Linked DNA regions of Bombyx mori. The protein of the gene in region 2 purifies or fractionates together with the protein of the main gene of each other region. This does not show direct contact. Links are inferred from orthologs where the notes say so. Each region holds a gene or a part of one and is shown on either strand. Other genes may lie near its edges. The genes, in order: pseudouridylate synthase TRUB2, mitochondrial; RCC1-like G exchanging factor-like protein.

The links.
Region 1: the proteins of RCC1-like G exchanging factor-like protein (region 2) and pseudouridylate synthase TRUB2, mitochondrial purify together in Homo sapiens (affinity purification with mass spectrometry; 3 studies listed by BioGRID and IntAct, with this or other methods). This does not show direct contact. The link is inferred for Bombyx mori from reciprocal best matches to the Homo sapiens genes RCC1L and TRUB2.

The regions. Positions count from the first base shown.
Region 1 is NC_085121.1:543,107-547,041, reverse strand, and holds the start of pseudouridylate synthase TRUB2, mitochondrial, read right to left. Parts: upstream 2,283-3,935; 5' UTR 1,934-2,282; coding exon 1,810-1,933; intron 1,606-1,809; coding exon 1,414-1,605; intron 1,082-1,413; coding exon 865-1,081; intron 522-864; coding exon 385-521; intron 1-384. UniProt on the Homo sapiens protein: Minor enzyme contributing to the isomerization of uridine to pseudouridine (pseudouridylation) of specific mitochondrial mRNAs (mt-mRNAs) such as COXI and COXIII mt-mRNAs.
Region 2 is NC_085111.1:18,484,103-18,487,616, forward strand, and holds the end of RCC1-like G exchanging factor-like protein, read right to left. Parts: intron 3,228-3,514; coding exon 3,055-3,227; intron 2,293-3,054; coding exon 2,128-2,292; intron 908-2,127; coding exon 570-907; 3' UTR 519-569; downstream 1-518. UniProt on the Homo sapiens protein: Guanine nucleotide exchange factor (GEF) for mitochondrial dynamin-related GTPase OPA1. Activates OPA1, by exchanging bound GDP for free GTP, and drives OPA1 and MFN1-dependent mitochondrial fusion. Plays an essential role in mitochondrial ribosome biogenesis.

The DNA.
Region 1 (3,935 bases), on a different chromosome or scaffold from region 2:
ATCTGCCCTTTCTGTCTAACAAATAAGGCTTATTGTATTTCAATATTTGAAACATAAAGAGTTAAAGATCTCCTTTGTGCTCTTAGACAACCAGAACAAAAATATGATCCTTCCAGACAGTAGTGCAGTGTATAGTGAGTTCATATGGCTAGGTATTATTGCACTCTCTTTATTTTAGATGTGAAGGAGTAATGCAATTCCATCTTAAAGAGTGGGAAGGTCATTTTGCAAATCATTTGAGAAATGTTGAGGTGGGTAGTGGTATTTATATTGAGCTATCTATGGGCCCAGGTAACCATTTAACATCATGTGAGCTTTTTTCTCCTTGTGAAGCAGTAAAATATAAACAATGTGGTATGATTTAAAAGTTAATTGTAATACAACCTAAAGTAAAATTAGGTGAATCAAAATGGACACATTTGATGCCATAGAGAACTGGAATTTTGGAGTTAGCCGGTCTGATTGGTCCTTCTACTGCTAGATCATACATTGTCTGAGAATCCATGTGTACACCCGATAACCTGAAAGGTAAAAGAAATTATGGACAAACTTAGTGTTGTCAGTATATGCAAATGAAAATTACACTTTTTATCTGCTTGTTTTATTTTTTAATTTCATTTTTATGTACTTTGATAATGTGGTGTAGGTATATTCAGGCTTTCACTTTCATATATAATGATCAAGCATCTAGTGTATCAGTGGCTACTGCTAATCTGCTTACTCATGCTTATAATAAAAACAGAATGGAATGGCTGGACTAGATCATTAGTCAAGTTGTAAATAGTGACGGTTAAATTTGTACTTGTAATTTATGCTGAAGAATCTATCCTGAAGATTTTACACATCTAATTTATGTATACTTACTCATACATAGCTTTTTGGTGTGCTGCCTGCATATGGGCAACTACTCTGTCTATCTTCTCTCGACTAACGTGTTTGTGCATAGAACGTTCAACAGTCTTGCCATTCCAAAAATATGTGTCAGTAGCTTTACCAAGTTGCCCATGAAGTTTGTATGCTCTTGGGAGTCTTGCTGTGTTCAACAGATAGGTCAGTTTTGTACCTTCATTAATGCCTAACACTAAAAGCAAAAAAATAACAATTGTCACACTTAGTGAAATTATATAGTGATAGTGAAATATTTTCTTCTCTAAAAAAATTTTCACTAACAAACCAAAAGAAGTTAAATTAATACATATATATATCTAATTTATATTTATATATGTTTTGTTGGTAGCCTGATCTCAATAAACCAAGCTAATTAAGTTATTATGTTGTCATTGATCTCAGACAAGTGAACAAATTTCCTGGTTGGACACCATTTGAAAAGAACCTCAAATTTTTAGTGTGTTATAAGTTTAAAAAAGTAACATTGTATTCGAGGTAGGTTTCTTCACATAAATGTTAACTTACACAGAACTCCACTGCTGAAGAACCCTAAATGAGTAGCCCAGCTGCAGCGAAAGTCTTCGTTTATGAACCTAGGACCACAGGCTAGAGGGTTGTCTGCATAGTTAGGCACCAAACACACACTCATCGGTTCGTTTGTGGCCCCTATAATCTCCACTCTTTTCTCTTGAGGACCATTTGGTAATGCATTCAAGTCTGGAAAAAAAATAGTTTTGCTTCAACTTGGATGGGCTTTGGTCATTTTTATGGTCAGATCGTCTCTCGTCAACTAATATCTTTGACATCGAGAATTCAAAATCTTTAAATTTTATATTCGTTTACGATTAAAGTAAATCTAGGTGAGGTGTATAATATTGTTTAGTTATATACGTGAGATTTAACATTAGTTAGAAAACTAACCTCTACATAAATGAGTTATAATTGTATGCTGCACTTGTTTAATGGTGACACATGGTGGTTTGTAAACACAAACCAAGCCATTTAAAGCTTTATACGCCAATGCTCCAGTACATAATTTCGCCATTTATCATGCCAGTTCCCAACAAAGTTCTCAGTTGAACAAAATAATCAAACTTCAAATTTTTCAAAACATCTTCGTTTTCGGTTTGATTTTTTCAATTGAACTGGTAAAGGGAGAGTAGCACACACAGCTTTCTCGATTTGAAAATTAAATAATTATGGGAGCATTTCGAGAACTTCATGTTGTTAAAACGTTCCATTATGACTTAATAATTTAAATATTGTCAGAAGACTGTTGAATACACGTTCTGTTAAATATACATCATTTTTTAAATTACACTGCATTACTATTTATTAGCAATATCTTCTTTATCATGAGACCAACAAACGTCGGTTTCTGGACACAGGGGTCCATTACAGATAACATCCACTGGATTCCCGCGACCTTTATGCCGGCCACTGACATTCGTACAATGTACGAATATTTGCGCGCATGTGAAGGGCCGTCAAACATTTATTCGCAAACCTAGCGGCGCGGCTGTGCAAATGGGTTCGCATACTCAATTTGCGAACCCGTTTGCGCTTCCTTCTACACTTGTTTACGAATGTCTCACGAATTTCTCCTCCTTTTTAATTCGTCAATAGAACATTGAAGAGAAAAAGAGTTTTTAATTCTTTCCCAGACATCATTAACAGCCATGCTGTTTTTATGGGATTTCTTTTGATGAAGATACGCTACACAGTAGACGTCCCGAACTATGAAAATGGCGTATAGTATACGTCCGTTACCTTCGCAATCGTCGGCGCAACTGGGCAAGCGAATGTGTGGGAGACTACGCGAAGGTTCGAGGTTCGCGCGCTTTGATGTCTGTTAAAAAACCGACACAGCTTGGAAAACCACGAATGCAGCGAAAACTTTGCATAATCATTCGCAAATGTCGTCCCACACTTGCGGGTTTGCGTATTCGTGAGCATGTGAGTGACCGGTGTTAGTATATTGTCGGATCACCTTCTGGGAGTCATAAAAAAGCTGTCACTCGGTGCGCGATCACCATTCACGCAAATACTTTTTTGTTTTAATTTTATTCTATTATGGAGTTTTTTTATGATTCGTCTGAAAATAGAGATTGCCTAATTAGTTGTATGTTTGACGATTTTTTTTCTATTTAAGCTGTTATTGTAACGTTCATGCCAGAGGGAGCTGTTGATAGCCGGAAACCAAGTGATTTTGGTGGAATACTGACAATGCCAGCACTAAACAAAAAAATGTGTGCGTGTACTAGTGTACACACGTAAGAAGTGAAACTTGTTTATGGCCTTATTTTTCGAAAAATGATCTACATGCAACTTTCTAGAAATTGGTTAAATAAAGTTAAATTAGATAAAGTTTAAACAAAAGGATTTTATTATCATAGACATGAATACAAAAAAGTTAAATTAGATAAAGTTTAAACAAAAGGATTTTATTATCATAGACATGAATACAAAACAGATGGCGCGTAACGGAAAAAAGTGACGCGTAACCGAAAAATGTGACGGTAAATTTTTTTCCAACGCCGATAAGGAAGTTTCACTTCAAAAATCCTAAGGCGTTCAAAACTAAACTTTTTCATTTTTTTGTTCAAACGTGGTTTCACAAGAATACTCGGAGGTATTCATTATGACGATGATGATGACTCGGAGGTAGGCATTGCTAACTTTTGTACATGACTACAATAAAAATTTTGAATACATAATTTTGGAGTATTTGTAAATGTGTATCTTAAACTTCGGGAGACAATTTTTTTTGTATTAATTTTACTCTTATTTTATTAAATACTAAGGCAGATGGTATAAGTACTAGCACTAAAGAACAGCTGACATACCTTGTTCTATGTATTGTTTCTTCAAATAATCTGTGATCATAAATGTCAATTGTCATTGTCACGTCGTCACGATTTACTCAACATGTCAGTTGTCTTTTAACTACCTAGACGGGAGCGGCGAGCAATGGCCGATTGAAAGTCTCGCCACCGTTGATATCACTCGACGGCATACGTGTTCCATTATTGTGTTCCAACAGGAAT
Region 2 (3,514 bases):
AATATTATTTCACTATTCAGTTGAAACAGACATTACCAACAAACGAACTGAAGAACTAATCAAGATACAAGAATGCAAAAGATTATCTAATTTAGAGCTCATAATTTGCAGCATATTAACAATGAATCCAAATTATTATGACACAAATAGAGACTACTCTAAGATATCGTAATTTATCAAAAAATGTTTAGAGGCTCTCAAAAACTTTAGATTAATATATATATATAAATGAATTGCTGTTCGTTAATCTTGCTAATACTCGAGAATGCTGGACCAATTTGGTCTTGAATTATTCGTGGAAGTCCAGAGAAGGTTTAAAAGGTAGACAAATATGAAAATGCTCGGAATTAAATGAAAATAACAATTTTTTTTATCCTTCGATGTGTCCCCCGTCGGACGGATCCCTTTTGATTGCTTTAAGTTAATTTTATACAAAAGCTTAGGTCTTATATATTTTATCGATTAAGGCACTACGAAGTCTGCCGCGTCAGCTAGTAATACAATAAAAACAAAAAGAATTTTACTAAATATTTTATTGCTAAATTAGGTAATAATTAGAACTGTCTTAACTAAACAAACGGTTTGCAAACTGCAACTGAATGGTCCACACTACAAGCCACTTTAAGTACATGAGCACCAATCGCCACTTTTAAGGGAAAATGCTGATCATTTGTATTGCCCAAACCGAGGCAGCCTTGCCTATTCCTGCCCCACATGTAAAGATCACCATTATTAGTGACAGCTGCGAGATGGGAGATTCCACAGGAAATTTTTTTAACCACACACTCAGGGTTGAATTCATTTCGGCCAAACAATGTTGGTGGTATTTGTTTAGGTGTCGCCGTGTGCTGCACGTTTGGTCCAAGTCCTAGAAGACCGAATCCCCAGACAAAGACATCTCCTTGGTCTGTGAAAGATATTGAAAAGGAAGTAAAATAGTAAATATTTTATAAAACAAGTTCAGTTCCTCTAGTCGAAGTGTAATCTAGTCTCCCTCTCGATAGCTTTTTTCTGGCCGTGCTGACCCTTCTACGAGTTCCACGCGCCTAGAGGGCGCGCTGTGTATGTGGGACTGAACGGTCTGCAGATGTTGGGAGCGGACCACGGGCCCAACGTGCTGGAGTGACGGTAGCGTACGGCGCAGCATCGATCCTCTCAGGTCGCACTGTGACCTTCACCGGGAGGAGATTGCCTTCTCACCTCTCTCACCTGATACATTAACCTAGTTTTTTTATGTTTGAGAGATTACTGGTGGGCCGGAGGCCTTTCCAGTTTTACCAGGGCAGGCGGGCGAGCAAGGGTTCAGCCAGGAGGGGTAGTATTTGCTAACAGCTACCCGAGCGCCTCTGAAAGAGATCTAACAACTCAATAGTAACTGCTTCGCGAATGAATCTACTACCGGATCGGAATCGCAACCCGCTGAGAAGATCCGACAAGAAACTCAGCGGGTTGACGTTTAGGTTAGGTTCATTAATCTAATGTTCATGGACATCAATTTGCTTAGAAATATCGGTTCATTGTTAATTATGTATGTTATTTTCCCAGCACCACTATCCTGCCTATTACTGCTATGAAGCAGTCATGCGTTCCAGTTTAGGACCACAGTGTAAAGAGCAGTACTCGGTTTCTTCATTCAATATGTCGAGCGCGACGGTAATATAAAGCGGGCCGTAAACTCGTCTGTCGATATACTCTGACAGACAGACATCCGCAATGAATTAAAAAGGGTGCGTGTACTTATGTACGCGCGTAAGAAATTATACTTTATTTTTATTAAATTTACTTTTTTTTTTTTATTAATAAATAATTAATAATAAATATTTAACGTTAATAATTTAATAATATTTAGTATGAATTATATTAAATGATAATTTTGTCATTTATATTACTAAAAAATGAATGCTAATAACACATTTTATTACTAGTGTACATGCGCGAAAGTTCACCTGCGGCTATATTCAGACTCGCCAAGTTACGTCGGTCGTATTGTAATGAGCGATTTAGTGGGCAACTCCATTCGGTTAATTTTGTGTCACGGTGCGCGCGCATTGTAAAATTTCACTCTCATCAATTTTTCATAACACGCCTAAAGAAGTATAATTTCAAAAGAAATGTTATAGTTCCAACCATTAACGATCATGCAGAAGGATCCTCCCGCCGCGATGTCCACAATCCTGCCGAGTCCCCTGGTGAAGTTGAGGAGCGCGTAGGGCGTGTTGACTTGGTGTTGTGTCGTCGCCATCGGGATCTGCCCGTACTCAGAGTTGCCCCAACCGAACAGTTCTCCTTTGTCTGTAGACATATTATTATTATTATTATACAGATTGGATTTTATACCCGGCGTTCTCGTATCAAAGGAATTTTATCTAATATTTTTTTTGTAAAACTGCAACTTTTACGAAAAATGTGGAGTAGAAATAAAATCAGTAAAATTACAAATTTAAACAGGGCGAGTAGGTGAGCTCGCTCTAGTATAGAGCACAGTGCTGCCGCGTAGCCAACGGACAATACCACACAATTGAGACTTCGCCCGACCTCACACTAAAAGTTGTCAGCCGTTCATCATTACTGTGAGATTCCAGCAACTAATTCACATGAGCACCGTAAGTTAGACATTCTGCAATACATGAGTTGAAAATGTAAAAAACAAACACTATAAACAAACACTATCGCATTTATAATATTGAATATGGATATTTGCTTTATAAACCCTAATTTAATGTACAAATGTGTCATGTATTTTTTTATTTTTTTATTTATTGCTTAGATGGATGGACGAGCTCACAGCCTACCTGGTGTCAAGTAGTTACTGGAGTCCATAGACTCCATACACAACGTAAATGCGCCACCCAGCTTGATATATAAGTTCTAAAGTCTCAAGTATAGCTACAAAGGCTGCCCCACCCATCAAACCGAAACGCATTGCTGCTTCACAGAAATAGGCAAGGTGGTGGTACCTACCTGTATTAAATTAAGGAGTATCACATTTCATTTACTTTAGCCATATTACATCTTAAGTCATAATATAATACTGATAAATTGTCTGAAACTCACTGTTCAAAGCCAAAACACAATCTCCAGTGGAAGCGACTTTGACAATCTTCTCCGTGGTGATATCGCCTATGACAGCGGTAGGAGTGGATCGATTGTCATAGTTTCCCAGTCCGGTCTGACCGTCGGCTCCCCACCCACACGCGTACACTTTACCAGACTCTGTTATGAACAGACTGGAATGTATTAATTTATGGATGGCATAATTTTGATTCAGACAAATTTCATTGTGTAATAAAACATACTGTACGGGACACACCTTGAGACATGAATTCTTAAGCTCAGTTTTAAAGTACAACAGTTCCTATACCCTTCAAAACAAAACGCATTACTGGTTCGTGGCTGAAATAGGCAGGATGGTGGAACCTTCTGCATGCCTCGTGAGCCCAAATACCTATCCTACCGCCAATAATACGTTAGTATAAACCGAGTTTGATTTCTATTACGAGATGTTACTCCTTCA